Linked DNA regions of Caenorhabditis elegans. The protein of the gene in region 2 purifies or fractionates together with the protein of the main gene of each other region. This does not show direct contact. Each region holds a gene or a part of one and is shown on either strand. Other genes may lie near its edges.

What was found.
Region 1: the proteins of irld-12 (region 2) and swsn-4 fractionate together in Caenorhabditis elegans (co-fractionation; one large-scale study listed by BioGRID). This does not show direct contact.
Region 3: the proteins of irld-12 (region 2) and chd-1 fractionate together in Caenorhabditis elegans (co-fractionation; one large-scale study listed by BioGRID). This does not show direct contact.

What each region holds. Positions count from the first base shown.
Region 1 is NC_003282.8:11,120,202-11,131,194, reverse strand, and holds swsn-4 (SWI/SNF chromatin remodeling complex core catalytic subunit swsn-4), read right to left. Parts: upstream 5,172-10,993; 5' UTR 5,122-5,171; coding exon 4,666-5,121; intron 4,619-4,665; coding exon 4,394-4,618; intron 4,347-4,393; coding exon 4,120-4,346; intron 4,073-4,119; coding exon 3,280-4,072; intron 3,232-3,279; coding exon 1,582-3,231; intron 1,538-1,581; coding exon 1,031-1,537; intron 986-1,030; coding exon 500-985; intron 452-499; coding exon 371-451; 3' UTR 33-370; downstream 1-32. Other genes in the region: Meiotic recombination protein spo-11, read left to right, coding at 6,460-6,507, 6,553-6,722, 6,773-7,007, 7,052-7,148, 7,196-7,423, 7,491-7,581, 7,628-8,036; enpl-1 (Endoplasmin homolog), read right to left, coding at 8,257-8,829, 8,896-9,471, 9,546-10,563.
Region 2 is NC_003283.11:3,015,810-3,026,802, reverse strand, and holds irld-12 (Receptor L-domain domain-containing protein), read left to right. Parts: upstream 1-5,396; coding exon 5,397-5,514; intron 5,515-5,568; coding exon 5,569-5,820; intron 5,821-5,871; coding exon 5,872-6,069; intron 6,070-7,225; coding exon 7,226-7,518; intron 7,519-7,572; coding exon 7,573-7,945; intron 7,946-7,994; coding exon 7,995-8,062; intron 8,063-8,115; coding exon 8,116-8,266; intron 8,267-8,314; coding exon 8,315-8,442; downstream 8,443-10,993. Other genes in the region: asp-8 (Peptidase A1 domain-containing protein), read right to left, coding at 1,344-1,815, 1,867-1,966, 2,018-2,240; K12D9.1 (Methyltransferase domain-containing protein), read right to left, coding at 10,769-10,993.
Region 3 is NC_003279.8:7,011,063-7,022,055, reverse strand, and holds the start of chd-1 (Chromodomain-helicase-DNA-binding protein 1), read left to right. Parts: upstream 1-6,832; 5' UTR 6,833-6,847; coding exon 6,848-6,977; intron 6,978-7,121; coding exon 7,122-7,264; intron 7,265-7,316; coding exon 7,317-7,553; intron 7,554-7,850; coding exon 7,851-8,471; intron 8,472-8,477; exon of another isoform or gene 8,478-8,536; coding exon 8,537-8,887; intron 8,888-8,933; coding exon 8,934-10,588; intron 10,589-10,751; coding exon 10,752-10,911; intron 10,912-10,993. Other genes in the region: ubql-1 (Ubiquilin), read right to left, coding at 1-74; pdi-3 (Protein disulfide-isomerase), read left to right, coding at 1,269-1,499, 4,040-4,265, 4,312-4,435, 4,492-4,605, 4,656-4,955, 5,035-5,263, 5,626-5,702, 5,754-5,919.

The DNA.
Region 1 (10,993 bases), on a different chromosome or scaffold from region 2:
CGAAAATAATTCTTGATAACAAAAGCATATTTCTCTCGAAATGTTTATAAAATTAAATTTTTCTTTAAAATAGTTGACGAATAGTATGGATTAAAAGTGGAATATGGGTTAAATACAATGCTTAATGCTTTTGTTTCAGGGATTTTTTCCTGCAAACGTGTAGCTTGCGACAGAAAAGAGAAGTAGAGATAAACAGTAAAAAAGCGATGAGAGATAACTGTGAAGCAGGAGAGATAAGAATGGGGGAACGAGGTGGGACATATTTATGGTGACAGCTCAAAAAATCAGAAATCATAGAACATGAAGAATACACAAACAGAGAATAAATGTTTATGGGGACATGAAAATATTTGGAGCAGACTAGTTTTGATCACTCGTCGTCTTCTTCTTCCTCATCCTCGTTCGAGAAGCGGCGAGTTGGACGAGACTTTCGACGGCTTGATGCTGGTTCCTGGAAATTAAATATTAGACTTAAAGACATTAAAAAAGTTCAAGTAACCTTCTTTTGTCCAATGATCTCCTCTTCTTCATCTTCTTCCATTGGGTCTTCACTATCTTCCGATTCCTTCTTCTTTTTCGGTGGTGGTGCACTTGCAGACGATGTTGATGGTTCATCATCTTTCTTAGCTTCCTCGGTCTTTACAGAAGACGAAGTTTCTTTTTTCTCGTCCTTTTTGGGGGTTACTTTAGTTGAAGCTTGTGCACGTTGAGCTAGCATAGCCGACTGCATATATTGAAGCATTAGGGCTTGATTTCCACCGGTCTGTGTCATCAATGCCTGTTGAAACTGCTGAGCCTGTGCGGGTGGAAGTGATTGCATATGTGTCATAAGCATTAACATTTGCTGAGCAGTTGCCTGTTGTGTCCGCTGAAGATCTGACACACTTGGAGTGCCACTGGTTGAGGGACGAGAAGATGAAGTTGATGGGGTTGAAGGTTCTTTCTTCTTGACTGGTTCTTCTACTGGCTTCGGTGGATTCATAAACTGAAAAAGTAATGTAAACTTCGAAATTTCAAAAATCAATCATACCTTATCGTATTGTTCCTTCCACAATTTTCCGATTGTTTCAGAGCTAACATAAATCTCACTGCCTTCTTCGTTGTATGTTTGAGCATTGTTCACAAGCAAATTCATATCATCATTCAATTCTTCCATAACCGTATAACGTCCTGTTTCGATCTTTTTGTTGATTCGATCGAAATCCATTGGTTTGGAAATCACTTGATAATAGTCCGGCAGTTCTTTACGAGTTGGAAGTGTCTGGAATACATCCGCGATGAGTTCTCCATCCTCATTTTTATATTCTAGAATAACATCAAGCATTTCATTGATTTTTTCTGCCAATTCTGGATCCGTCTTCTTCTTCTTGTGTTGTAGAACAACGTCATCCATAGAATCATCATTCTCGTCCAATCCAGCCATTTTACGTTTTCTTTGCTTTTTACGTTCAGCCACAGCTTGATTATTTTCATCCTCAACTTCCTCAACTTGTTTCATGAACTGTTCATCGGACAAAAGATCGGAAGAGTAGTCGACCTGAAAATGAATTAATATTGTAAATTCTCTTATATATTCCTTACCTCTCTTCTGCGTCTTCTCTGATTAGGAGTTTGATCAACAACTTCACGACCTTCCTCTCTGGCTCGTTCCATTTCCTCATAATCGAATGACAATTTGAGAATATCGTCTGGAATTTCATGTTCTTCTAGAAGACGGGGTTTACGGTGAAGTTGATTAGCTTCTTCACGACGACGATCAATATCCATCGATTGGAAGATATTAAATTCTTCCTCTGAGCGAGCAACCATCTGATTCACAGTTTCATCATCTGGAACTTCCTCTTCTTCTTCCTCTTCTCCGTCTGCTTGAATAATTTGTTCGAGCATTTGCTTTCTTTCAGCTCCAGTTGAACGTTGATCGAACTTTCCTGCTTGAATAACTTTCTCGTCGACATTCAACTTGTAGCGAGCAGCGGCAAGAATTTTCTCTTCAACAGAGTTAGCTGTGATGAGACGAAGAACTCGAACTTCTTTCTTTTGTCCGATACGATGTGCACGATCTTGAGCCTGCATATCCTGATGAGGATTCCAATCCGAATCAAAGATAATAACAGTATCAGCAGTTTGCAAATTGAGTCCAAGACCTCCAGCTCTTGTAGAAAGCATGAAAAGGAACAAATCACTGTTAGGAGCATTAAACTGTGTCAGCAGATCTCCACGCTCGTCTGGTTTAGTTGAACCGTCTAAACGGAGGTACGTGTATCTTCGGAAATTCAAAAAGTCTTCGAAAATGTTCATCATAGACGTCATCTGGAAGAACATCAGAATTCGATGACCTGTTGCCTTTAGTTTCGGTAGAATACGATCGAGAAGTTCCAACTTTCCAGCAACACGCATTAGATCGGTTCCATTGACTTCGTTGACCTTCCAGTATGCACGGCAGGAATCTTCAATATTAGGGAAAAGGAACGGGTGATTGCAAAGCTTGCGAAGATGCACGACAGTGTTCATCAACGAACGTGCTCCAGATGACATTTTAGCGTCGAGAAGCAATCCTTTCTGCATATGACGATAAATAACCTTTTGCAAAGCAGACTGGTCACACTTGATGACATACTCGGTCTTGTCAGGAAGCTGTGATTCTACTTCCTTTTTGAGACGTCTCAGCAAGAATGGACGAAGAACCTTGTGCAGTCTTCTGATGATGAGCATCGTCTCTTCTTGATTCAGTTCTACTTTCTCTCCTGTAGTCGCAAATGGAGCATTGAACCATTGTTCGAAAGTTCCACAAGATGAGAAGATCGATGGAAGTAAGAAGTTCAGCAGAGCCCATAGCTCAGGAAGTTTGTTCTGAAGTGGAGTACCAGTAAGAAGTAAACGATGCTGAGCATGGAAGAATCCGTTCAACATCAATGTCAATTTACAATTGTGATTCTTCAAACGATGTCCTTCGTCGATTATCATATACTTCCAACGGATTTTACCAAGCAGTGCTTTCTCTTTGATCACATATTCATATGTTGTCATCAAAACGTTGAACGCTCCTTTTCTGATTTGTCCTTCAACACGACGACGAGCATCTTTAGTTCCTTTATAGATGATAGTGGTTACAGATGGAGCCCATTTAGCAAATTCGTTCTGCCAATTGGACAACGTGGAGAGCGGTACGATGACAAGATATGGTCCATTGTTTTGTTTGACTTCCATCAAATACGTCACCAACGAGATTGTCTGAAAATTAAAAATTGATTAATATTTCCTCATTTCCCAAATTCCTACCTGAATAGTTTTTCCTAGACCCATTTCGTCGGCGAGGATACCGTTCAGATTGTTGTTGTATAAGGAGACCATCCATTCCAATCCCTTAATCTGATACGGTTTCAGCAGAAGATTCGGATCACCACCACCCATCGTTGTGTGTTGCTTGACAACCTTTTCTTTGATTTTGTGAGCAGTTGCATAGTAATCAGCCATTTGCTTTTTCGTTTTCTGATCATATTCATCCTCTTCGTTACGTGCCTTCTCGAGGATCATCTTAGCTTTTGTCTCTTCATCCATTCCAGCGTACTGATCATCCTTCTCTTCTTCTGGTTCCACTGGAGCCTCTTCCTCTTCCTCTTCTTCGTCATCACTAAGCTGATCACGTGGAACTATCTCATATTCTGGATGAGTTTCAAGCCAAAACTCAATTTCTTCAGTCTTTGGAGCTTGATCTCCAGTAAGCGCTTTTCCAGTGCTTCTCTCCCGAACGTGAACCCTGGCTTCCTCATCCATTTGATTTCCTTTTTCAATTTTCTTATCTTCCTTCTTCTTTTTCTTTTCGGTATTTTGATGTTGACGAACAAGTGAGCACAGAGAGTCGACGTACTCATCGGTTTGTTGAAGAAGATACACAAGACGTTGATCTTTCTTCTCATCAAGAAGAGCACGATATCCTTCTTCATCTTCTTGCATCAGTTTTTGCATACGAAGTTTTTCATTTCGAATCTCGTCCTTCTTGCGTTCACGTTCATTGTTTTGATGATATGTCATGACTGCCTTGCGAGACTTTGCCATTTTCAGAAGATTGTTTCTGAAAATAATTTAATTAGTAGGAGAACTTTCTAAATACAATCTCACCTATGATACTCCTTGAATTCCTTTCCATGCTGAATGATAGCTTGCATCAAATCAGTATGCTTCTGCCTTCTCTTTCTTTCTTGCTCCATCTTTTGTTGCTTCTCAAGCTTTTCGGTAACACGAGCTTCGCGTAAAGATTGCCGCTTTGTGCGTCGATACGCATATGGATTGAGTGCAGTTTCGAGAGTTGTGTCTCTTTTGAGACAAGCCATCACTTCACTGCGCACCTAAAAACAGCTTATTGGTTAAAATACTCTTCGAATCCAGAAATTACCTGAGTTTGGAGATTGACAAGACGTAAAGCACGCAATTCGATTTCTGCTTTCAATTTCATGTGATCTGGAATGTCGGCGGGTAAGTTATTGAGTAGCTTCATGCGTAGCCCGATTCTGTTTTGAATCATATTTTCTCTTTGCTTGAGCATGCCAACAGGATCAATTCCTGATGGAACAGAAATTGTTGTTGGACGATTACAGCGTATTTGATGGAGATTGAAAATCTGTAAAAAAGTAGACTGTATAGTTTCATTCGATCCATTTTACCTACCTTCATCAAATCATACGGCAACTTTTCTCCATTCTCTGCCTCTCCTGGATATTCATAAGGTTCAGGCAACAAAGTTGTAACTTTTGGTCGGAGCATGACAGCATCCGCAATCAAGTTGGCCGGTACTTGTTCATTTCGAGCCAAAAGACGATAGGCTGACACTTGAGCCCTCAGTTGATTGAGTTGTGCTGGGGTAATTTGTTGATTCCCGCCATTTTCCTGTCCTGGAACGGCGTCTGGGAGACCAGATTGGAGTTTTTGCTTCAAAAGAACTGCTTTGGCGTGTCGATGGTCATTCTGAAGACCTTGTTCCTCCATTGAAGTTATCGCATTTTCCAGTTTGGAAATTGTCAGCTCTTGGCCTTGAGCTCCATCACCAGCTTGCTGAGCAACAACTTCACCGGCTGGTTGCGGTGGTTGAGCAGTAAACTGCTCAAACGCCGGCCTTCCGCTCATTCTTCAAAATTCCAGCAATTTGATACACTATCTTCTTTCAAATTGATAGTCTGAAACAATTATTAATTCAGAATTTTAGATTCAATTGAACATTCAAGATAAACAAAAAGTATTGCGGTAATAGTATATAAGCGAATTTCAGAAGAAGCCTGCGTGAATAATAAAACCGAGGACAATATATAGACTTTCCATCCATCCTAGTGCAAAAAGAGTAGGACTGATGGAACCGAGAAATAGCGTGCAAGTGAAAGAGAGATGTAGTGTATTGCAGGACACAACTTTCGGCGCGCATTCAAAATTTCTAGCGCATATAAAACACGGAGAACTCTTCGGGGGCCCTTTGTGAGCTAGTGAGATAAGAAAAGCTAAGAAAAAACTAAAAGATTGACGATTTCTAAAGATTGTGAAAAAATCGATAAGTAGTGACGTGTACGAATCGACTTTTCATGAATCCTGAGAGGTTTTTTCGTTTTCCAACGACGTATAAGTGTATACTGATAACTAGTATCGCTTGATATCGTGAAATTCGTCTGAAAACCGAGAAAATCCATGAAAAATGGTCTAAATTGTGTGTTAGACTAAGCAGCTGGGGAAGAAGAAGGTTTGAATGTATGCAGTGGACGCGCCGAGCGTCGATTGGCCAGAGAGGCAAAGTGAGGAGAAACACTATTGGAAATGGAGAGACGCAGACACTCTGCATGTCTGCCTGCATTGGAAACGGGCCATTGCGGCGGAGAGGACAAATGAATGGGAAAAGAGACAAGAAAAGAAGGAATAGTGGAAAATACAAGAAGACTACGGTAGATATAGACCATATCAGAGCTTCATTATGACTATTTGAATAAAGTATTTGAAGGAAATTTAATATAGCAAAAATATTTCAGCGCAACAACATTTAATGCTAGTTTAAGAAAAAAATGAATACTATACATAAATTTTATATTCTATAAAAATCTTCTTCGACTGCGACGAAATGAATGGTGCAGTCATTCGCTTCAAAATTGCATTTAAGCTGTGGTTTTTCGGCAGGGATTGAGAAAAACCGAGTTATATTTAAGAAATGCATTTTAAAATATTTTTTGAAGAAAAATGTCAATTTAAGAATATAGAAAAGAAGATCGAACATTGAGACTCGTCGGCGCCGAGTATTAAAAATCTGACGAAAATTACAGTACTACTCCGATTCGCTGCGGGACCCGTGCTTTATTTTCACGTATGGTCCTTTCGATTATTGACTTTTTGTATCTTGCAGCTGGAGCCTTATTAGCTTGCGTCCAAGTTTTATCAAAGTTTTATTCCATTTTATCTGTATTTTTGTTCTACTAATTAGTTTAAAGCATGTATGAATATTCTTTCAACCCAAATATCGATCATGAGCCCGGATCTGTAAGCTTAATATTGCTGATTCAAATCTAATTTTGCAATTTTCAGGTAGAATCTCAACAATCCACTATTTATTCGGATTCTGATGATTCTGATGACAGTTTTCTTGACGATGAAGTAATACCACCGAAGGAACAAGCTATGAGAAAAATTGAATTCGCTCTTGCAGATATTAAAAGGCAAATGGATAACAAAGAGAAATCGTTGACTTTGAGAATGTAATAAGTTCCTGTTGAAAATGTTTGAGTAATTTTGTTTTTTTTTTCAGATCGACTAGTAAATCACATTTTTGCCTTCGTTATACAGCAAAGAGGAAAGGAAAATTGGATAGAGATTTGCACTGTCTTCACCAAGTTTATGATTTGCTCGAAAATGACAAAAGATCAACGAAAAGAGAATTGTATTATGAACATAAAGCAGTTTATGGAAACCAGAAATATTTAGACAGTTCAATAAAATCAATTTGTGAGCTTTTGAATGAAAGTCGGGCTAATTTAAACATTGTCAGTGTGACATTAATAAACAAGAAATAATTTCCAAATTTCAGCTCTCTTGTGGACGCGGGATAATTCGTGGAGCAATTACTTTTTTAGTTGAGAATGTTGGTGTAATTGATGCGAGAGTTCAAGAAGTTTTGATCACAGGTAAGGTAATAAAAAACATTTAAAAATGATCAACGCTGGTGTTTCAGATGCACTGTTATTTTCGAATATAATATCAGAAGCCGATTTCATACTTGTTGTTGAGAAAGACACAACTTTTCAAAAATTAATGGATGAAAATTTTCAAGCAATGTTTCCACGTGGGATTCTAGCAACTTCGAAAGGATATCCGGATATTGCAACTCGAAATGTTCTGAAAATGTTGAGTGAAAAAAGAAAATTTCCAATATACGGACTGTTTGACGCTGATCCGCATGGTGAATTTTTAATAAAGGATTTAAAAAATAACTATATTAAAAATAGTAATACTTAAATTCAATTAAGGTATTGAAATCTACTTGACTTACAAATATGGACCTACGAAAGAATTTGCCGAAGGCCGAGGAGCCTTTGTTCCAACGATTGAATGGATCGGGTAAGACGATTTTATATTTATTTTCATAATTTCAACAAATTTCCAGTCTTTTCCCAACTGATTTTCATCGTTTCACCATCGATCAATCACAATGTCTTCCATTGGTTCGAACTGATTTTGTGAAAATTGAGAAGATGATTCCTCGATCGATTCAACTCGGAGAAATAGTGGTGACACGAGAATTAGACTGGATGATTCAGAATAAATTTAAAATGGAACTTGAATCAATAAATATGTGCGGACAGGAGTATATGGCTCGATTCTTGATTGCTCCGAGAGTCATGTCGATAGAAAAAGAAATTCCGATTCAACCAGAGACGATTATAAACGAGTACCACGAAGATTCACAATGTTCGCTGTCGACAGATGATGATCGGGAAGCAAAAGACGATGACTATATAGATTCGGATGCTGAAGAAAAGTTCCAGAATATGATAGATAATGATAGTGATTGAAAATAATATGAAACAGATTTTATTTTAGTTTCAAATGCAATATATTGCAATTACAACCACAAAAGGGGAAAGGAACCGTAAAGTGTTCGAGAAGTACTGAGACTGAGAAGTGGGGGGAGAAACAACATTAAATAAATAGAAAACAACACAAGTTATCTTATCTTATCACAATATCATCGAGTGCATAAAGCTAATGGAATGGGGAGATGTTTTACATTGTTTAGAGCTCAGAGTGCTCCTCCTCAATCGTTGTTTCTTCAGCGGCTTCTGGCTCTGGTTCAGCCTCTTCAATATGCTGTTCGGTTTCAACTTGAGCATCTTGGGAAACATCGAGCGATTGGCGAAGGACAGCTTCGATTCTATCAGCAAAACCAACTTGATCTTGAAGTGAGAATCCAGAACGAAGAGTGGCAGTTTCGAAGAGAAGCTTGGCAGTAGAAGCAGCGGTGGTATCTTCTTCAGAAGCAGTGACTCTCTTGAGAAGCTCCTTGATAACTGGATGGCGTGGGTTAATCTCGAATGTCTTTTTCTGAGTAGCATAGAAGTCTTGAGTTGGATCCTTTGCCTTAGCATAAGCTTGCGACTTCATAATGCGCTCCATGTTTCCAGACCATCCGTAGGAAGAGGCAACAAGGGCAGATGGTGATTTGACAAGACGTTGAGAAACAACTGCTTTCTCGATCAGATCCTTGAGTGCAGTTTCCTTGAGCCAGTCAGTAAGTGGCTTGAACTCCTCTTCAAGACCCTTGTGGGCTTCCTTGGCCTTCTCTCCATCATCGATGGTAACTCCTTCCTGAAAAATAGCATGTTGATAGGTAAAACATCATAGCCACTAAAGAAAAAAGCCTTCAATACTCACCTTAGCCACATTTTGGAACTTCTTTGATTCATATTCTGGCATAGCTTGAATACAGTACTCATCAACAGCTTCGGTGAGGAACAAAACTTCGTATCCCTTAGCGATGAGTCTCTCTACGAATGGAGAAGTTTCAACTTCCTTTCTGGAAGTTCCAGCCATGTAGTAAATGGCGTCTTGCTTTTCTTTCATTCTTTCGACATAGGCGGCAAGAGTAGTTGTTTTGTCAGCATCATTAGAAGACTGGAAGCGGAGAAGTTTAGCAAGACGCATACGGTTGGATGGATCCTCCATAACTCCCAACTTGATATTGGTAGAGAACTCGCTCCAGAAGTCATCGAATTGGGCTCCGTCGAGTTTCTTGAGCATGTCGAGCACTTTACGGACAAGTTTCTTCTTGATAACCTTGAGAAGTTTGTGCTGTTGGAGGTTTTCACGGGAGACATTGAGTGGGAGATCATCTGAATCAACGATACCGCGAATGAAGGAAAGATACTTTGGAAGCATATCGGCAAAATCGTCAGTGATGAAGACACGACGAACGTACAATTTGATGTTTTCGATAACTTTTCCGTAGTTCTGAAATAACATTATTAGTTGAAAATAACTAAACGCAATTAAAACAAATGCTATATAACTTTCAATATTCTTACCTGGAACATGTCATTTGGAGACTTCTTTGGAACGTAGAGGATAGATCTGAAGGAAACTTCTCCTTCAGCACTGAAATGCACGTGACTCAGTGGCTCTTCCGAATCCTTGGTGATACTCTTGTAGAATTGCTTGTATTCGTCTTCTTCGACCTGATTTGGTTTGCGCATCCAAATAGGTTTAACGTTGTTGACCTTCTCCCAATCCCAGGTGGTCTTCTCAACCTTCTTGGTTTTCTTTTCTTCCTTCTCTTCTTCAACAGCTCCGTCTTCAGTGGTGGCTGGTTCCTCTTCAACTGCTTCTTCCACCATTTCAGTTTTGGATTGCCAGAGGAAAATGTCAAAGTTGATGAATTGGGAATACTTGTGCACCAAGTTCTTGAGGGTATCTGGCTCCAAGAAATCTGCTGCCTCCTCCTTGAGGTACAATGTAATCTGAGTTCCGCGCTTCAATGTGTTTCCACGTGGGTCTTTGCTGATGGTGAAGCTAGCTGAATCAGATTCCCAAATGTACTGATCATCATCGTTGTTCTTGGTGGTTACGACAACACGGTCGGCAACAAGGAAGGCAGCGTAGAATCCGACTCCGAATTGTCCAATAAGATCTTGTTGCTGGTCAGAAGAAGTGGCAGTGTCCATAAGTTTGGATAAGAATTCTGAAGTTCCAGAGCGTGCAATAGTTCCCAAATTGTTGATCAAATCTTGACGAGTCATACCAACTCCTGTGTCGGTAATGTGAAGAAGGCGGTTTTCACGATCAGCCTTGATTTTAACAGACATCTCTTCAGTCTCACGGAGTTGCTCTGGATCGGTGAGGGAAAGAAGACGAATTTTGTCGAGAGCATCGGAAGCATTAGAAATAAGCTCACGGAGGAAAATCTCCTTATTTCTGTAGAGAGAGTTGATAATAAGTTTCATCATTCGGTTTACTTCGGCTTGGAATTCGTGTTTCTCGGCTTTTGAGCGGAGCTCCTTGATCTGGGAGACAGATAGTCCATCGAGCTTGATCGAATCTTCCTCTCTGAAAATATTATTTATCAATTTCAATTTTTTTTGTTAACTAGTTATATTTTTAAATTGTTTTAAACTGTATTGTGTTTTAATTGTACAGTTTTGATCTTTAATTTTCCAAAATTTTATCAGAAACCCTAGAAAATAATGCGTTCACTTCTAATCCGTGTATGGCATCCCTAATACTACACCTTCCATTAGCAGAAGATTAAATCTTGTGATTCGTATCTCCGTCCTTGACAGGCTATTACGTGAATCTAGGAAAGCATACGTTAAATTATCTAGGTCGGAGATAACCCTTTTAGTCTCTCTTGACCCTTCAGCCGATTTTTCTTATTTGAGAAAAAGGAAACACAAACAAGATAAGATAACCTAGCAGTAGATCGAGTCTGTTTGCATTCCGACAAAGGGCAAGACTCAATCAAATAGTGCTCCGCGGG
Region 2 (10,993 bases):
TTTTTATGTTTGAGCAGTGCTAACTTTGAAATCATGAGAGATATACAAAAGTAATGTATTACAACATTAATGTAACATTATTAGCTACACTTTATTAGTATATCACATTGTTGTACCTCTTCACGTTTCTGAGTTACAGTCGATAGAAGTGAGCTTGGTCCAATTTTCAAAAAACCCTATTTTCTCATGTTTTGGCCTGTAACTCCGAAATCAGGCGTCTGATCAAAAATCTTTAAATTAAAAAATAAGCATTTTTTATTTATAAACAGGTACTCAGTTGACTGTTTTGTCATATCTCATATATGCGCAATGATATGAATCGCCAAAGAAAAGTTGCGGAAATTTCAGAAAACTTTTTAAAAAATCCTCGAAAAAAAAATCCAAAAAAATTTTTTACAAGATAACCTCTAACTGTTTTTAGATTATGATAGCCTAATTAGTAATCAAAATATTACATGCATTTTTGAACGCTCATGTTGTTTTCGGAAAGAGTAAAATAGTTTTTTGCAATATATTTCTATATTTTTTCGATCATGCATTTTTTGTTCGTTGACGGTTCATATCATTGCGCACATATGAGATATGACAAAACGGTCAACTGAGTACCTGTTTATAAATAAAAAATGCTTATTTTTTAATTTAAAGATTTTTGATCAGACGCCTGATTTCGGAGTTACAGGCCAAAACATGAGAAAATAGGGTTTTTTGAAAATTGGACCAAGCTCACTTCTATCGACTGTAACTCAGAAACGTGAAGAGGTACAACAATGTGATATACTAATGAAGTGTAGCTAATAATGTGTACATTAATGTTGTAATACATTACTTTTGTATATCTCTCATGATTTCAAAGTTGGCACTGCTCAAACATAAAAAAGGCAATTTCGCAAGCGTTTTCGGCACTTCCAACAGATGTAGCGCTATCAATAAGCTATGCCTGAGTCTGAAATTTTTCAGTTTTGTTTAACTAACTGTCTTATACCTCTACGCATACAAAGCTTTTGATTTCATAAAGAAATGAAAAAATTCGAAAAAAAAAATTTTTTTTCGTCACCATAGTTCGGAGTTTTAAATAATCTGGAAGTTGGCCGATATGGCTGATATTGTTGGGCTTGTCATTACTAACAGTCTTCTATACAACCGCAAAATAATATCCAAGAAAAAACCAAAACTAGAAAAAAACGAAAAAACTTATTGAACGACCTAATAGTTGAATAAAACTTTACTACCATTTACAGCGTACATTCTGATAAATTCGCAAATTAACCTAATGTATTCCTCTTTCAATTTGGAGTTTTGTTTGATTCTAATTTAGCGAGAAAAACCCCCAGTAAAAACAATACCGTTTCTGTTTGAGTTCTTGAATAAGTGCCGATTGAAAATCCATCCACAGAGTAACTCCAGAACGAGTTGTAGGCAAGTGGGACGTAATTGACTTGTGATTGGCAATGTGTGGTGTCAATTGCTCCAAACATAATGTCACCTCCTGCTGTTCCGTTATGCATGTTGGATTTTGTGAAATAAGTCGTGAAGAGTTTCTGATCAAGTTGTGGCAGTAAGTTTTGCATTGTTGTACTAGTTCCATTAAGTGCAGTAGCCGGCCATCCCAATCCCAGGACTCCATCGAATGTTTCCCCGAAAAGTCTGGTGGCAGCGGTTCCGATTCCAAAGTCTTGGCTTTGAATAGTAAAACCGGCAAATTGAGCTGTATCTTTTCCTACATTTCCAGAAACGTGTCCACCATCATATGGCAGGTTGAAGCTTGAAGTTCCGGCGACAAATGTCGAGGAAGCAGTGCGATTGTATTCGCGATCTCTAAAACTCTTCCAGAAGTCTCAACTGTTAGATTGGGGTCAGCATACTCACCTACGACCTCGTCCTCCATGGCAGTTTTGACTTCTGCACTCGACTCCAAAAACCCATAGATTTGAGGATGTAGTGTCAAAGGCTACTTGAAAGTGTTGAGCTGAAATTTTTTGTTTTCTTTTTGAAGCACCCCGAACATCCGAGAACTCACCTGGAGTTCCAATTCTAACACCGGCGGTATAGTACTCATCGAAATGGTCAAAGAACGACACATTTCCAGTGCTCAATTGCTGGATTCTAGCAAGCTCCTGTCCGTAGCGTCCTTCTCGGATTAGCTGCTCACGAAGAGATCCAGATTTTTCTACTGAAATTGAGAATTGTCCTGCAGAGCAGAGGGCAACTAGTCCCAGCAGAGAAATTAGTTTTCCAAACATTTTGTGGAAAATGAAAATTTTCCGGTTATCTTCCAATTTTATAGACTGGAAAGTATTTCTCAATATTTTAGTACCCCCCGTTATCACTACAAAAAGATGATGCAGTTTTTGTCAATGATCTTAAAAATGGTCATGATCTTTGTTTGCGAACTGATTGTGAATACACTTTCTCCTCGTTCAGCGCATAAAAATGTAGTGTTGACGCAAATAAAAAGTTTTTGAACTAATTGAGTGATGCAAATTGAAAATTGCACGAAGAAAATTGCCAAGGCAAGTGCCCTACAAAAAAAGGCGCGAAAATCTAATAGTAGCCTGCTGTAATAGATCAAAAAACCTTGTTTCATTTTTATAGCCTCTCATTATGAATCACGCGATTTAGTCTTCAAAATTTTACAAATTTTCGACATTTATAATTTAAACTTCCGATTCGAGATAATTGCTGCATATGTAAAAGCTCAAGTTTTTGTCCTTTCTAATACATTTGGTCAAACTCCACATGAAAATCCCAACTATTTTTCTATTTTCTCTATTTTTTCTCACTTTTATTTTAATTTGTAAAACAGATCCCCGAGAAAATTTAAATACTATTGTCAGTTTTTTCCAATGCGGTTTGTTTAGAAATTTTAATTTTTTCTAATTTTTTTTTAAATTAAAATGTTCAGAGGACAAGTGCGTTTTCAATTACACCGAAATAAGCTCGGTTACAATAAAGTTTTTCCCAAAGTGTGAACTAGTCTGCGCAATTATTGTCATCAACTCAAAAACAGATGTATCTGCTGTTCAAATTAAAAAGGCTTTCAAGAATATGCGTACGTTACTTGGCGGCTTATGGATTGAGAATTCAAATTTGACGGATCTCTCTATTTTTACAACTGATAAAGAATCTGGAAGTTTCAATATTGCTTGTGATTTTTGTAAGAATTTTTATTAAAGTTATGATCCCTATCATTCCTTACATATTAAAAAAAAAAAGTGTACATCTGTTGAGTGCGTCATCAATGGGCGGAGCCTCTCGCTTCGTGGCGAGACCCATTGTGGTGAGACCCATCGTGGTGAGATCCATCGTGGTGAGACCAACGAATTTTGGCGGGAAATTCAAATTTAATGAGAAAACATTTTGGCGGGAAATTTAAACTTTCTGAGAAAATTTTTGGCGCGAAATTCAATTTTTTGAAAAACATCTTCAATAGAATTTCAAATTTTCGGGGAAAATAATTTGGCAGAAAATTATTTTTTTATATTTTTGGCGAGAAATTCAAATTTCAAAAGGAAACATTTGGTGGGGAATTCAAATTTTCAGAGAAAGATTTTTAGAAGGAAATTCGAATTTTCTGCAAAATATTTTTGGCGCAAAATTTTAAATTTTCTGAGAAAACACTTGGCGGGATGTTCAATTTTTCCGAGATTTTTTTTGACGGGAATTCTAACTTTCTGAGAAATTGTTTCGCGGGAAAATCAAATTATTTCGAGAAAAAAAAACGGAAAATTCAAATTTTCTGTTGTGAAGCTTTTGTTTTGGCATATCTATATGTTATATGAATACTTTCAGCAGGAATATTTATACTAAACAATTCCCAATTAGGTGATCCAAATAATATGTTTAACTCGATATATACCTACCGTGCTGGTGACAATAGAGAATGCGTTTTTGAAGTTCAAAACAACGCAATTCTAGAAGTGGATTGTGATTATGGATATGTTCCTTATCTCAAAGAAATTTATGTTGTTGGGAATTCGAAAAATTGCAGTAAGTACCTAGATATCTAAAGATATTGTTTTTCAATTTTTTCCCATCCACAAATTCAGGATGCCATGGTGGAAAGTTAAGCGAGGCTGAAATTAGAACCTATACAGCATGCCAAAGTCTAAGTGCTGGATTGGAACTTTCCAACTTAACAGATCTATCAGTGTTAAGCTATTTTCAAATCTGACATATATTCGAGGAGACTTTAATATTCATCACTCAAATATTCAAAATTTATCTTGTCTAGAAAATCTAGAAATTTTGAAAATTAGTAACAATGGAAGTGGCGAGCAAATTGATTTCAATCTTCACGATAATCCGGAAATGATTCGTCTCGGGTTTCCGAAGCTTGAAGAATTCAAAAACGCTCACGACACATATCACTTGGACGGACTCAAATTGAGAAACGCGAATTTTGAAAATCTACATCCTGATTTTTGTCTAACATTGCCAGAAATCCATCGTTTGATGTGGTCTTACTTCCATTTCAAAAACCTTCACGCTAAACTTTGTGCGGATCCGGGAGAGATACCAGATGCTGTCAACTGTATTTTCAAATCTATGAGTGACTTGCCAAACGATTGTGACGCTATTATTGGAGATATAACAATTGGAGAAGGCGATGAAGTTTATGTGAGCAAGTTGGATTGGACTAGTTACTTGGTTGGAACAGTGACAATACGGAATACCCAACTTAATGATACATATTTTCTGAGTTACCTTAGTTATATAGTTTCGTTCAGGTGAGGCTTTTCAGTGTACAACTTCAAATCGTAAAGTTACAGATTCACCAGTCATCCGAATTTATTCTAATCCAAACTTGAAAAAGGTCTCAGTGGGAGGAATGGTAGTTATTCTAGAAAATTGGCTTAATACTACAATTAACAATTTTAGGCTGTCGTGACGAGAGGAAAACGAATTGCCATAATCCAAGATAATTATGCTAATTTGTTCAAGTCAAAACCTTGCGATCTGTTTAACGAGCATAATCAAGATACGGTTTGGTATTGCATCGTACTAACTTGACGCATACCGGAAGTCACTGCGGAGAGAGAGTAGAAATTGGAAATTTGGAAGCATCGAAACTTAATTTGTGTGTTTTTATAATTGTATGGAGCTTAAACCCTTTAAAGATGTATTTTTGAAATAAATCATTCAATTTTTTTTTAATTTTCGGACCACAGTTCCCGTCAAACGTTAACAATTGTCACAGTCTGCATAATTCCTAAAAACTGATCTCACACGTTTTTTAGCGTCCGACATTTTTGGGGTTTTAGTATTTGATAAAATCAACGTTATTCTTGACACCCCTACATCACACTACATTTTGAGTCAGCTATAATAACTACCTTCGCATGTCCCCAAACTTTTTGAAATAATTTGTTGCCCAAGCATCAAATCTCATGCTCAACATGAAAACATTTTCCCTATCGATTTTTTGCATTTTCCTACTTTTTATTTTATTTCGCTACTGCAGCTCTCTCAATTTATCTAAAGCTTTACAAAATGTATTTGATTCAAATAGCTGTGGTGGGAAATTTTTTCTTACGATTATCAATTTTTAAAATTTTTTTTTTGTTTCAGAAAAGAAGTGCATGTTTAATTACACCGAAATAACTTCAAAAACAATACAATTTTTCCCGAAATGCGAGGTTGTCTGTGCAATTATAGTTATAGATTCTAGAACTGACTTAGCACATGAGAAATTGGAAAAGGCCTTCAAGAAAATGAACTTTTTGGTTGGCGGGTTACGAATCGAGAATACAAAGTATACAAGCCTATCTTTCATAACTACAAGGTTTCCAAATGGGCCATTTAATTTTTCATGCAGCGATTGTAAGTTGAAAATTTTAATTTCAGCAAAAGAGCCTAAACTTCTAGTTTTAGATGGCTTATTCATCAAGAACAATTCCGAGTTGAACGAAATTGATGTGCTATATAGATTTAATATGATTCGTCGAGAAGGTCTGAAGGAGTGTAATTTCGAAGTTGAAAATAATGAGAAACTTGAAATATTTTGTTACACGAATTATCTAGATCACTATATGAACATGAAGATTTTTGGAAACAAGAGAGATTGCGATGGTAAAAAGCAAAAAATTCACTGTGGACCGGAGATGGCGGGCACATTTTTTTGGCAAAATTATGAAATATATTTTTATCTTGCAGAAATATAGAAAAACTTGTCCACTTTTTGAAAATATGTACATTTCCTTTTGATTGAAATTTTTGAAAGATATTATATGGAAAACGTTCAGAAAATTTCTTTGTCCACAAATTTGGCAAATTGGCAAATTGCCGGCTTGGCAATGTCCCAGAAATTTAGATTTTCAAATTGTCGATTTGTCGTTTGCCGGTTTGCCGATTTGCCGGAATTTTTTATTTTCGACAATTTGCCGAATTGTGGTTTCCGGATTTCAATTTGCCGAAAGTGTTTAGAGGGCATTTTTATAAGACGGAAACAATTAAAACTGTGCCTCTTTGAACATTTTTCCCGTTTTCTTCAGATATTTCTATAGAATTTACTTACTTTTCCGAATGGATGTAGAAACATTCATAAGATGCGTACAATGTTGCCTATTGAAATTAAAATACTTAAATTTCCAAAAAAAAATGAGCAAACCCGCAATTGCCCGAAAGTTTTCGGCAATTGCCGTTTTTCCGGCAAGTGCGGCAAATCGGCAGCTGGACGGTTCGCCGATTTTTCCGGAAATTTCAATTCCGGCAATTTGCCGATTTGCCGATTTGCCAAGAATTTAAATTCCGGCAATTTGCCAATTTGCCGGAAGTAGATGTAGGAATGTTCATAGGATGCGTACAATGTTGCCTATTGAAATTGAAATACTGAAATTTCCGAAAAATGTGCAAAACCACAGTTCGCCGAAAATTTTCGGCAATTCCCGTTTTTCAGGCAAGTTCGGCGAATCGACAATGTTCCGGTTTGCCGATTTTCCGGAAATTTTTCAATTCCGGCAACTTGCCAAATTGCCGGAAATTTTTCAATTCCGGCAATTTGTCGATTTGCCGATTTGCCGGAAAATGTCGTTGCCGCCCACACGATTACCTAGCAAAATGCGATTTCGCGTCCCATTTTGAGCAACTTTCCGGAACTTTTACTTGAAAATAAAGAGATTTTCAGAAAGTGCAAATATTTCTCTATATTTCTATCTAAATTTCTAACAAAAAACTTTGACACAACTGTATGAAAATGGGATTTTGTAAATGAATGTACTCTTTCCAGGCTGCCAATTTGGAGAGGTTGATGTTTATAAACCGAATCACATGGATAATTGTGATACTTTGGTAAATGGTTTGAAGGTTTTCAATGTCACTGGTGAAGGAGATCTTTCTTATTTATCAACCGTTAAAGTCATCAAAGGAAACATTGAAATCCGCCACACTACCCTGCAGAATCTCTCATTCATTTCGAAACTCGAAAGAATAAAAGTTCAAAATGAAGGAATCGATGAGCAACTTCTCATTAATATTCACGATAATCCAAATATGACGCGGCTGGGGCTCCCGAATTTTCAGGTAATGTTTTGACGGAATTTTCTGTTAAAATAATTGCTGATTTGTGAATTTCAGGATATCGAAAATTATTGGAGTGGAATTATTCGAGTAAACTTTGAAAATTTGCATCCAGATTTTTGCCTAACCCTCCCCGAGTTGAACAATTTCTTCCTACAGTCTGATCTTTCTGTGGAGAATCTAGACGCAAAATTATGCGAGGACTATGGAAATCTAGAAGATATAGTTTTATGCATTTTCATCTCAATGGAGGAGCTCCCGAATAATTGTGAAATAATAATGGGGAATTTGATTATAGAAGGTGGAGATGAGGACTATGTGACGAAGCTTAGAGTGTTAGAATTTTTATTCGGCTCCCTGATTATTCAAAATACAACTTTGGATAGCATCGGTTTTCTGGATTCGCTACACTATATTACAGTATTAAATGGTGGTTTTTTCATAAAGAAAATTTTATAACATTGAAAAAAATTTTTTAGAGTCATCCCCAGTTGCAATGATAATCTCGAATCCAAATTTGAAATACGCGAAAATGAGCGGAATTTGGGTAGACTTGCTCATCGCCTATATGTAGGATAATTTTATTTTCCAAACTTTCAGAACATTCTCACAAGAGGAGAAAGATTGGCAATCATACAAGACAATCATCCGGAATTCTACGAGCCTTGCCAACTTTTCCGGATTTATGTAGGCTCGTATGTTAATTACAGAGAGTATAGATCAAATTTGACTTATACTGGAAGTAATTGCGGTACTTTTTTGGAGAAAATTTTGATTTGAAATTTTTTTCAATTTTCAGGCAAAAGAGTTGAGCTACAACTAGAAGATATACAATCTGGAGCACAACACCATCTGGGAGCCTGTGTAGTTTTAATATGGACCTTGGCATGTTACTTTACCAAAAATTACATAAATGTTTTATTCTGAACCAAATAAATACTAACCTGAAATCATTCTAATACGATTGATATTCTGATAACAACCTCGTGTTCGGAACTATACATAAATCGATATTTCTGTGTGTTCCCTATAGAATAAGCGCAGCCGACCACGAAGGAGGTCTGCGATGAACTACTTGTTCCGTAACCCGTAAGGTGTACGTAAGGTGTCTGCATTCCACGAAGACGAGGCGCTAAGAGGGCACACCACGCCCGCCCTACTCCCGCACGCCTGTGCGCCCGCACTATCACACTCTGTGTACTGCGGCCGACGCTGTGCGGGACCTTGCCCCACTATAGCTGTGTGCAACAGATAAGGGCAATGGTGTGAGGGCGGGCGAGAGTGGTGCCTTCGTGGAGGCAAATACTCATTGACTCCAAAATCATTGACTACCTGTTCTCATTGCCTACCTGTGCTCATTGTCTACTTGTTTTCTTCATCAGTCAAGAGGCACGTACAAGGACCGTATTCCAAGAATACATCAAAGGTACATCTACTCAATTTGTTCATTCAAATGAAATAACCTCCAAAACTCTCTGAACTGAGTATTTTCAAACTGGCGTATCTCAAAAAATACACACCTGAAAAACAAATGTCCAACTAACAAAATGATGAGAAATATTTTTTCTTTCTAATTTAATAGTTTTTATTTCAATACACCAACATTTTGTAAAGTTACACGGAGTCAAAGCCATTTTTCCAAAATTCACAAAAATTTTTAGAAGTCTTTTGTTGTACCCTTTATAACTCAACTTTCATTGAATTTCAGAAGATAAATTTTGTTGAATAGTGAGTGAAAAATATTTTTCTACATTTTACCAGTTTTAAGTTTTCGGATATTTTCATGTTCCGCCAAGTTAGAGACCGTTTTTCAAAAAAATTCAATTTCGCTTATAAAAATCTTCATATTCAACGTATCGACTTGAAATTTTGAAAAATGATCATTTTTTTGATGTCTCTACAATGTCCTAAAAAATTTTTCAAAAAACACTGTCCATCTCCAAAATCGTCCTCCGCTCCAAAATAAGAAAGTGGACCTTTGCCTTCCGAAAAATGGGCGAAAAACTGAAATTGCGATTTTTGGGTCGAAAAAAATATTTTTAGAAAGCTGAGAACACGCTATTTACGAATTTCATGTTCATTTTGAGTGATTTCTTTTCTTAAACGACCTAAAAATTAAACAAAAAGAACATAATTTTTATTCTCACGTGAAATTTTTTAAAATTTGCATTAAAACAATTGAAACACTGAGCAAATTACCAAATAGTTACACGTGAGAATTAAAAATATGTTATTTTTGTTTAATTTTTAGGTCGTGTAAGAGAAGAAATCACCTGAAATGAACATGAAATTCGCAAATAGCGTGTTCTCAGCTTTCTAAAAATATTTTTTTCGACCCAAAAATCGCAATTTCAGTTTTTCGCCCATTTTTCGGAAGGCAAAGGTCCACTTTCTTATTTTGGAGCGGAGGACGATTTTGGAGATGGACAGTGTTTTTGAAAGATTTTTTAGGACATTGTAGAGACATCAAAAAAGTGATCATTTTTCAAAATTTCAAGTCGATACGTTGAATATGAAGATTTTTATAAGCGAAATTGGATTTTTTTGAAAAACGGTCTGTAACTTGGCGGAACATGAAAAAATCCGAAAACTTGAAACTGGTAAAATGTAAAAAAATATTTTTCACCTACTATTCAACAAAATTTATCTTCTGAAATTCAATGAAAGTTGAGTTATAAAGGGTACAACAAAAGACTTCTTAAAATTTTATGTGAATTTTGCTAAAATGGCTTTGACTCCGTGTAACTCTACAGAAAGTTAGTGTATTGATATAAAAACTATTGAATTAGAAAGAAAAAATATTTCTGATCATTTTGTTAGTTGGACATTTGTTTTCCAGATGTGTATTTTTTGAGATACGCCAGTTTGAAAACACTAAGTTCCGAGAGTTTTGGAGATTATTTCATTTTTAGATCGAAAATAGACAATGAGCAAAGGGTAGACAATGAGAAAGAGTAGGCAATGAGAAACGGTAGTCAACGAGCAACACGTAGGCAATGAAAACAGGAAGGCAATGAGCAAAGGGTAGGCAATGAGAAAGAGGTAGGCAAAAAGCAAGGGTAGGCAATGAAAACAGGTAGTCAATGATTTTGGAGTCAATGAGTATTTGCCCTTCGTGAAAGACCTATTCTATCGTGTAAAAGATTACTGTAGCATTACAGTAGATTATGTAGAAGCCGGACGCTAAAAATTACAATGGCTGTTAAATTTTATTCCATCTTCTCAATTACAAAAGATAAAAAACCGTGTTTTTTCATTTCTTCAAAACATAGAACACACTTCCTGGGAAATGAATAATTGGGGTGATTTCAATATCCTTGAATCCACACTTAGTCATGAGCTCGGTGGCTCTTTTCCGTCCCCACATCGAGCCATATCCCATCGCATCTGAACTATTACTGCCCACTGGCAGACAATGGAGCATTGAGCCACCGTACTGGAGAGCAGACATCTTTCCGAAAGCTTCGCGATCTTGGAA
Region 3 (10,993 bases), on a different chromosome or scaffold from region 2:
GCAGCAATCTCAACGTCATACTTGTTCGACGGTGATTTCACGTGAACTTTGATGAGTGCACTCTCTGTAGCCATCTTAAATTTGAGAAATATTAAAAAACCGACAAAATTAAATAAAGAAAAAGGATTGAGAGAATGAGAGGCGGAGACGGAAAAGAACACGTTGCATCGATAAATCGAGAATATTCTCGAAGCGCAAAAAGAAATTTCGCAACTATTTCAGACCGAATAATGTAATAATGTAATGGGTCTCTTCGATAGAAAATAAACGAAGATAAACGAAGACACAATTCTTCCTGACGCGCGAGCTTCAATATGCACGTGATGACTAATTTGGTTTCCATGGTGATCTTTTTGTTCCTTTTATCGATTCAAATTTACAATAAAAATAAGAAATTAAAGTTCTAAATGGCGCTCCAATCAATTTGCCTTCCAATTTAACGTCGATTCCTTCTATATCAGGTCATAAAATGAATAAAAAACAATGATCAATAAAATGATGCGGTAGTTGCGTAAATCGACACATGATGGTCGCCTCTTCCGTGCGAGACCCATTGGGCGGAGTTCTCACAAGAATGAGGCCAATCGGCACACAACACGCGTGCGACAGGCAGTGAACGACGTGTTTTTGGCTCAGTTCCTACCAATCCCTGGTGTACACACGAGCGCCACGTGGACCTTAACAATTCGGGTCTATTTTTATGCTTCTGCTCTGCATTTTCTGGATTATTAGTAATAATATCATTAAAAGTGATATAACGCTCCCCGAGTCTATATAAAATTTCTCCTCCATACAACACATGTTTTTTGGCTTTCTTCTTCTAAGCTTAAAATTTATAGTTATTTACTAACTGTATTTTCCACTTATTAAAGATAATTTTTGAAAAGTGTTTGTAAATACTTAAAATTGAACCCGAAACAATCTGTATTTGTCCATTCACATGTGATTCACAGAAAAGAATGAAAATAAATGCGAAAAAAAAATAAATAAAGTAAAGGCGCATTGATTTTACCGCTCGCGGTATCTCGCCACGAAAACACGTTTCGCGTCAAGCGGCTCACGTTTTCGATGCGATCGCGGTTTGTTAATTGCGAAAACACCTTCCCTTCTCTTCAATCGTTCGCTCAATTTCTAGAAAATATTTCTGAATAATCTGAAAACCTCTAATCTTGTTTCTTAGTTTTTAACTTTTTGTCGGTGTTCCCGATAATCTCTCGCCCTCTAAACTCACTCGATCGATTGTCGTTTATAGGTAAAGTTTTTAGGTAATGATTTGGGTCCAGGCAGCTTTGGTCGCCTCCTTCCTGGCGTTCGCCAGTGCTGGAGGAGCCGTTCTCGAGTATACCGACGGAAACTTCGATGATCTCATCCAAACCCACGACATTGCTCTTGTCAAGTTCTACGCTCCCTGGTGCGGACACTGCAAGAAAATTGCCCCAGAGTATGAGAGAGCTGCCCCAAAACTCGCATCTAACGATCCACCAGTCGCTCTCGTCAAGGTAAGATAACCATACTTATTTACACAGCCATCGCTCATATATCGATCGCAGTGACACTGACAAATACGCGAAAGCTGATAAAACAGCAACGAAAGCCACATTGAATAGAAATATATGAAATGCATACAAAGGATTCTTTGAATTTATTGTTCTAGTCCTTATGCATATAGAAACATTTGTCCGTCATATATATTATGTATGCTGGTCCAAAATGGTTATTGTGTATTCAAAAGGCCATTGACAATGAGATCGGCTCGACATTTACATTTTCCCACGCATCAAATCACTGTTTGTTGTCAGGTCTTTACTCTACAGAATACGGACATCAATTAACGATAAGAGCAAAAACACCAGTCGCGTAGCAAACAGTTTTATCTATACCACAAACGAGTGCGATATGGTAGTAAATGAAACAAAAGATTATGTTTTTGAAGTTGAAGATTGTAAAAAAAAAGAAACAAAGATTTGAACCACGGTTTAGTAATAGGAATCCAGCCCCCCTTTAAGAATTCTCAGTTTTGAAACAGTAAATTCAATATTATCTCGAAAACGATCTATCACATGTGCATTGCCATAGAGAATAGTATATGTTTGAAATTTTTGAAGCAGTAATTGACAGACTTTTTCAATTAAACATTTTACGGTGTTCCTTTTGGCAAACAATTCCTCTTCTTTTCACGTGTATCTTTGTAAAATTCTCGAAATCTCTTTCCCAGTGTTATCCGAAAAAAGGCGGAGCTTGCCGCAAAGACCCAGAAAAATGGGCGTCACGCTCAAGTTTTCGAGAAAATATAAGATCCACCTCCTTGCGTTGTACGGCTCTGACACATTTTCCGGAGTTTTTTCAATGAAAAGAGGCCATAAAACTTCATTTGACCGACTTCGTTGTAATTTCGTGATTCTAAAATTAGCAACGCATGTTATCGTTAGAAAACAAGTAGTTAGGGATGGTCACCAAGGGTGTCAGTGTCCCGTAAAAATTACAAAAACGGGACAGTGGGATGTCCCGTTCCCGCGAAAACACCCAAAAAACGGGACAACGGGACATCCCGTTCCCGTGAAAACGCTCAAAAACGGGACAGCGGGACGTCCCGTTCCCGTGATAATTTTAAAAACGGGACAACGGGACGTCCCGTTCCCGTGAAAACACCCAAAAAACGGGACAACGGGACACGGGACTTGACACCCTTGATGGTCACCAAATCATGTGCTACACAGCACCCTAGATTGCGGGAGCCGGCCCTGTTGTCGTGAAAATGAAAATGTTCTCCAATTTCAATCAGTCGATCATGTTTTAATTCGAATTGAAAATATGATATTTAAAGCTAATTTTAAAATGCTTGAATTAGCTTGCATTTTTTTAAAAGTTGAATTTCAATAATTTAAGTTTTAATATCTCTGAAAAGGAATAGGATGATGCATGTGAATGAAATACTGATTTCTCTGCCAATATCGCATCCAAGAGAGTCGATCAAAAATTAGTGATGCAGCCTCTAATAGACTTGCCTGAATAGTTTCAAAATTTTCAAATATATTCTTTATATGTATTTTTTCAACTGCGTCATATAGTTTCCAAAGCTAAGGGTCATTCGTAGCTTAGTCTGGCATGTGACACTAATAGAGGTAATTTCAGTATCCTAATAGTAAGAATCAAAAACATGACCGAATACTTTTTGATTAATTCGATCGTTTCAAGGTATTGGAAAGATTTCATCGATTAGTTTTATTTATTGGACGACGATAGTGACGATCACATAGTAATAACGTGGGTGTATTATAATAATGTTGAAAGAGCCTGTTCAAATCATTTTGGTTGACACATCTTGTTTATTCACTTCTGCAATATGACGAAAAGTGCAGCGTTGTGGCCATGTTCCAATACATAATCAATGGATTTCTGAATCAGGGGTGTGCGGCAAATTTGCCGAAAATTGCCGACTTGCCGAGCTCGGCAAATTTGCCGATTTGCCGAATTCGGCAAATTTGAAAAAACCAGCAATTGCCGATTTGCCGAGCACGGCAAATTTCAAAAAGGTAGATTTGCCGAATTTGCCGAGCTCGGCAAATTTCGAAATTTGCCGCACACGTCAAAAATTTTACAGTACAATTTTGAGTAAAATTATTGATTTTTTCGCCAAAAATTTAGTAAAATGACACAAAATTGAGTTAGTTTTATGCTTAAGCAGACATACTACACGGAACTAATTCAGAAACCAGATGTGTGTTAAGAATTCGGTAGTTTTGGTGTTCCAAAAAACATCAAAAATTATCAAAATTTTCCGAGTTTGTTAAGCACGGCAAATTTTGAAAAACCAGCAATTGCCGATTTGCCGAGCTCGGCAATTTTTTCCATTTGCCGCACACCCCTGTTCTGAATCATGGTCTCGCAAAGTATATCCAAAGTTTGAAAAACATTTCATGGTGTCGTAACTTATATTTCAATACGTTTTGTGACTTTACAATATTTATTGCATTTCACATAGGTGAATGAACTCATTATTAAATACGCATATGTATTTCTCTCATTGTTTTTTTTTCAGGTCGATTGTACCACCGAGAAGACTGTTTGTGACAAATTCGGAGTTAAGGGATTCCCAACTCTTAAGATCTTCCGCAATGGAGTTCCAGCCCAAGACTACGATGGACCACGTGATGCCGATGGTATCGTTAAGTTCATGCGCGGACAGTCGGGACCTTCTTCCAAGGAACTTAAGACCGTTGCCGAATTCGAGAAGTTCACTGGTGGAGATGAAAATGTTGTCATCGGTTGGTTGATTTATTTCTTGGCTTTTTTAAATTTAATTATTTAAAGGATTCTTCGAGAGCGAAAGCAAGCTTAAGGATTCTTATCTCAAGGTTGCTGATACCGAACGTGATCGTTTCTCCTTCGCTCACACTTCCAACAAAGACATCATCAAGAAGGCTGGATACTCTGAGTAAGTACTAATTGTGAATTCGCATGTTCCTGATAATTTAATGAGCTATTTTTCAGTGACGTCGTTGTCTTCGTTCCAAAAAAGCTCCATAACAAGTTTGACACTAACGAGTTCAAATATGATGGTAACTACGACACCGATAAGATTAAGAACTTCTTGGTCCATGAAACGTTAGTCATGATTAAATTATTGTGCTTGTAATTAATTATCATATTTTAAGTGTTGGATTTGCCGGAATTCGTACTCAAGGAAACTTGTTCCAATTCGAGCAAAAGCCAATCGTCATTGTTTACTACAACGTTGATTACGTCAAGGATCCTAAGGGATCCAACTACTGGCGCAACCGTGTCTTGAAAGTTGCTCAAAACTATAAGAGAAAAGTTCAATTCGCCGTTTCCAACAAAGAAGAATTCTCTTCTGAAATTGAAACCAATGGACTAGGAGAGCGCAAGGACTCGGATAAGCCAATCGTTGCCATTCTCACTAATGAAGGAAAGTATCCAATGGACCAAGAATTCAGGTGTGTTAAAGCTCTGATATATTATCAGAAAATAATTTCAATGTTTTTCAACCGATATTTAATATAATAATAATTTCAGCGTTGACAATCTCCAGCAATTCGTTGATGAAGTTCTCGCCGGAAATGCCGAACCATACATGAAGTCTGAGCCAATCCCAGATGAACAAGGAGACGTTAAGGTTGCCGTTGGAAAGAACTTCAAGGAACTTATCATGGATGCTGATAAGGATGTGCTCATTGAATTTTATGCTCCATGGTGCGGACATTGCAAATCATTGGCTCCAAAATACGAGGAACTTGCTGAGAAGGTAGAATTTTTTGTTACATAAAATTAATACGACGTATTGTGAATAAGAATTCGCAACAGTTGGTTTTTTTTAAACATCTTCCCATAGTTCACATTTAAAAAGTTTATTTTTTACTTATTTTGAAACACGAATGTGAGAAAAACTTAAAAATAAAAATAGAAGTTAGCATGCAAGTTATTTTTTACATAGTAATTTTTTATTTATTAAAGTGCTTTTGTGATAAGCTTTCTGAAAGGTTTTTCAAAAATACAAGTTAACTTTAATTAAACTTTTTTAAATATTTAAGTTTACACTGGGAGACACTTAAAGTATTCAGGCTTGTGATATAATTTGTAAAATACTTTCAAATTTTGTAATTTCAGCTCAACAAGGAAGATGTTATCATTGCTAAGATGGATGCCACCGCCAATGATGTTCCACCAATGTTCGAAGTTAGAGGGTTAGTAATTTTATCCAATGCTGATCCTGAATTATTTGTATAATTTTGCAGATTCCCAACTCTCTTCTGGCTTCCAAAGAACGCTAAGTCGAACCCGATCCCATACAATGGAGGACGCGAAGTTAAGGATTTCGTCAGCTTCATCTCAAAGCACTCTACTGATGGGCTCAAGGGTTTCAGCCGCGACGGAAAGAAGAAGAAGAAGACTGAATTGTAATTGGATAATTATAGAGAATTTTTATCAAATCCCTCCCTCGTTGTTTCCCTTTTGTAATTTATTTATTTATTGTTTGCAGCTTCGACTAGGGTTCCCAATCGAAGAATTTTCAACTTGACGGTTGTTTCACGGTTTCTTTCTTGTTTTATGATGTAAAAAGGACCGTTTGGTGCCTTCATTATGGCGTTTCGTACGCCTTTTTTGCCAATAAACCTTCTGGTCTCTAATATTTGAGTTGTTCTCACACAAATACATGAAAAGCATCAATGTGGGAGGCTCTATTCTGACTAAAAATGCAAGTTTGAATTCGCGGTTAGAGTAACGAGCACTTTTGATCGCGAGCGGTTGCGTCGCGGTTGTGAGGTGTTCATGGCTGGGCGATTCGCTTTTTTCTGAAGTGCGCATCTCTTTTTGGACCGATTTCTTGGCTCACAAGCAGAATTTTTCGATTAAAATGTTTTCTATAGACAGCTAAATTTAATTAGTACCCTTTTCAGTTAAAAAAATATAGGAAATTGCACCGGAAAGTACTATTAATGGGCCTAGTGCAATTGTTTTTTATTCCGATGTTAACGGGGATCTAGTACCGTATTTAACAAATTGCACATACTTTTGAGAATTTTTGAATTATTTTGATGTTATTTTATTATAGTTTAGTGATGTTTGAAAAAAAAGTTTTTTGATTTTACGTCAGTGATTTCATTGATTTTTTTTTTGAATTTTTTTCCTCTTGTAAATATAACGGTATCGGCGCCAAAATGAAATAATTTGAATATTAATAAGATTGTTTGCTAAAATTAGCTAAAATAGTTATCAAAATAGTAATATTTATGAATATAAATATAATCGAACAAAATTTTGCTAAATTTTACCGTCTTTTTGGAATTTTTACGGGGTTTTTTGTTGAGAAAAAATAAGAATTTCAGATATGTGGAATCAGTCTGAATCATCATCTGGGAGTGATGCAGAACCTGATGAGAAAACAGATGAACCTGTGAGGGAAGAAGAAAATCCTGAAGGAAACAGTACCAGTGAAGATAATGATGAAAAAGAAAAAGGTTGGATATTAACTATTTTCAGAATTCATCAAATACATTTAAAATCTTAAGTATCTGAAATTTTGTGAACTACAAAAAAGAATGTTACATTACACGAATACTATTTTAAAAAAATAAGTTATTTTTATTTGACTCAATTTCCAGCTGCGGATTCACCTGAAAGTTCTTCTGATCAAAGTGACGACAGTGATGATGCTAGTGAAAACTCATCAAGTTCAGAACCAGATGAACCTGCCCCGAAGAAGAAAAATAATAATAATCGGGGGATGGATGCAGAAACAAGAAAAGTATGTGTCCAAAGATCAAAAACACAACAGAAATTAATTTAATATATTCCAGCTGCTTGAAAATGAAAACTACTTTCGACGTTCAAAACGATCAAAACGACAAGATGATTCACCGTCGGATAATTCCGAAGAATCACAATCTTCTGAAGATGATTGGGATGATCGACGAAAACCACGGCGAACAGTAACAAAAAAAGTTGTCAAGCAAACGAAAAAAGCAGTTTCAGTTGTAAAACGGAAGTCGGTGAAAGGAAATGTTAATTATGCCGAGAAAAATTCGGATGATGACGTGAGTTGTTGAAATATTCAAATATAGCGCCGAGTGGTCTCTCCGCGAAAAATATTTTTAGAAAATGTAATTCAGTAATGCGCCTTTGATACAGTAGGCCGCAAAAATTATTTTTTCCTTCATTTATTAGCTTCAATTTAAAAACATCTTAAAATTAAAGCTATTTAATAATTTTTTTAAGTATGAGTCGTAAAACTAAAATGTGGAACTAGTTTCGTCCGAACTTCATTTTAAAGACCTTTTCTAAAACTAAAATAATCTTAAAATTTAGCAGTTTCCTATATTTTATTTTTCCAGATCGACGATGACGACGTTCTTGAATGGGATGAAGAGCCAGCAGTACCCGCAGAAGGACCTGCAATTCTTACTGAAACTGTCGAAAGAGTTATCAAATGGCGGCACGGTGTACCTGGAGCAACGGGTTCTGCAACAACTTGTTATAATATTGCTGATAAAGGGGATCCTAACGATCAAATTCCCGGTGATAAGACAGAGCAGCAATTTTTTGTCAAATGGACAGGCTGGAGTCATCTGCATAACACATGGGAGTCTGAAAACTCATTGGCCTTGATGAATGCAAAAGGACTCAAAAAAGTTCAAAACTACGTGAAAAAGCAAAAAGAAGTTGAGATGTGGAAGCGGTCAGCCGATAAAGAATACATTGAATTTTTTGAATGTGAACAACAAATGGCAGAAGAACTTTGTGAAGAATACAAAAAAGTGGAAAGAGTCGTAGCTCATCAAACATCAAGAGATCGAGCTGCTGATGGATCAATGGCAACTGAATATCTTATCAAGTGGTCTGGATTACCGTACTCGGATTGTACTTGGGAAGATGAAAAGATGGTTGCACCTGAGCAGATAAAGGCTTATTATCATCGAATTGAAAATCTGAAATCTCCGAATAAAAATTCAAATGTTAGTTTGAAGGACAATTTATTTCACTTTTTATTATTAAACCTCTACAAAAAATAATAATTTAGGTCCTCCGGAAGCGCCCGAAATTTGAAAAATTTGAGTCGATGCCGGATTTTCTGAAAACCGACGGAGAATCAACACACAAACTTCGTGATTATCAACTTGAAGGTCTCAATTGGATGGTATACGCTTGGTGCAAAGGAAACAGCTCAATTCTAGCCGATGAAATGGGCCTTGGAAAAACAATTCAATCGATTTCTCTTCTCGCTTCATTATTTCATCGTTATGATCTTGCTGGACCATACCTCGTAGTTGTTCCTCTCTCAACGATGGCTGCTTGGCAGAAAGAATTTGCTCAATGGGCTCCTGAAATGAATCTTGTTGTTTATATGGGCGATGTTGTTTCTAGAGATATGGTAATAAATAATATTTGTATTTTTATATTGAAAAGTAGTTTTGTAGATTCGTCAATACGAATGGTTTGTCGGCGGAACGAAGAAAATGAAGATCAATGCAATTCTGACAACGTATGAAATTCTTCTCAAAGATAAAGCATTCCTGTCATCAATTGATTGGGCAGCTCTTCTTGTTGATGAAGCTCACCGTCTCAAAAACGACGAATCTTTGCTTTACAAATCTCTCACACAGTTCCGTTTCAACCATAAGCTTCTAATCACAGGAACACCTCTCCAGAACTCATTGAAAGAGCTGTGGGCTCTTCTTCACTTCATCATGCCTGAAAAGTTCGATTGTTGGGAAGAATTTGAAACAGCTCACAATGAATCGAATCATAAAGGAATATCTGCTTTGCACAAAAAGCTTGAACCATTTTTGTTGAGGAGAGTAAAGAAAGATGTTGAAAAATCGTTGCCGCCGAAGACGGAACAGATTCTCAGAGTTGACATGACGGCTCACCAGAAGCAGTTTTATAAATGGATTCTTACAAAGAACTACCGCGAGTTATCGAAAGGTGTCAAAGGATCAATTAATGGATTTGTAAATCTTGTGATGGAATTGAAAAAGTGTTGCAATCATGCATCCCTCACTCGACAATATGATCATATCTATGACGATGCCCAAGGAAGGTTACAACAACTTTTAAAATCTTCTGGAAAACTAATCCTTCTTGACAAGCTTCTATGCCGTCTGAAAGACAAAGGTCATCGAGTTCTGATCTTCTCTCAAATGGTTATGATGCTCGATATTTTACAAGAGTACCTTCAATTACGACGCTTTCCTTCACAACGACTCGACGGATCTATGCGTGCTGATCTTCGGAAACAAGCTCTTGATCATTACAATGCTCCGGGATCCACGGATTTTGCCTTCCTTCTGTCCACGAGGGCTGGTGGATTAGGAATTAACCTCGCCACTGCTGATACAGTAATAATTTTCGACTCAGATTGGAACCCACAGAATGATTTGCAAGCAATGTCTCGTGCACATCGTATTGGTCAAACAAAAACCGTGAACATCTACCGACTAGTAACAAAAGGTTCTGTTGAAGAAGAGATTGTTGAACGAGCGAAACGGAAGCTTGTATTGGATCATTTAGTCATTCAAAGAATGGATACCACTGGAAAAACAGTGTTGTCGAAGAATGCAACTGCCAGCGGAAGTGTTCCTTTCGATAAACAAGAACTTAGTGCAATTCTGAAGTTTGGAGCTGTTGAATTGTTCAAAGAGAAAGAAGGTGAAGAACAAGAACCTGAAGTTGATATTGATCGAATCCTGATGGGCGCGGAGACTCGAGAAGCTGAAGAAGAAGTGATGAAAGAGAATGAACTGCTCAGTTCATTTAAATATGCAAACTTCGCAATCGATGAAGAGAAGGACATTGCTGCAGCAACTGACGAATGGGCGGCTATAATTCCAGAAGAGGATAGAAATCGAATTCTTGAGGAAGAACGGATGAAGGAGTTGGCTGAAATGAATCTAGCACCGAGACAAAGAAAACAACCAATACCACAGGTTGTCGAAGATGATGATGGTGACGATGATGAAGAAGAAGATGATACTGGAAAAAAGAAAAAGAAGAAAGCAGTGGGAAACTTCACAATTCCTGAAATCAAACGATTTATCAAATCATTCCGAAAGTTTTCGATGCCTCTTAACAGGTACGTGCTTCTCATGTCTTATTAGTTTTTTGTTAACCTCTGAGCTCATTGAGTCGGCTGTGCCACTGCTTTGTAACTCTTCTCTCTAAACTTCTAAACTCTCTAAATTGTTCTCATGTTTTCTTTTCCCCAATCTTCCCCCACCCACCTGTGTTGTTTTTAGGCTCGAGGAAATTGCTCAAGATGCGGAACTCGAGGAGCACAGCACTGACGAGATGAAGAAACTTGTTGAAAGTTTGAGTGAGGCGTGCAAAAAAGCAGCCGATGAGTTCGACAGTAACGAGAAAAATGGTGATGCCGGTGCAGCGGAAAGTGAAAAGAAGGTTAGTTCGAATTTTTTGAGCCAACTTTTTTTTTGTTCATTGAAAATATTAATTTTCTCTGATCAAAACAATTGATTAATTT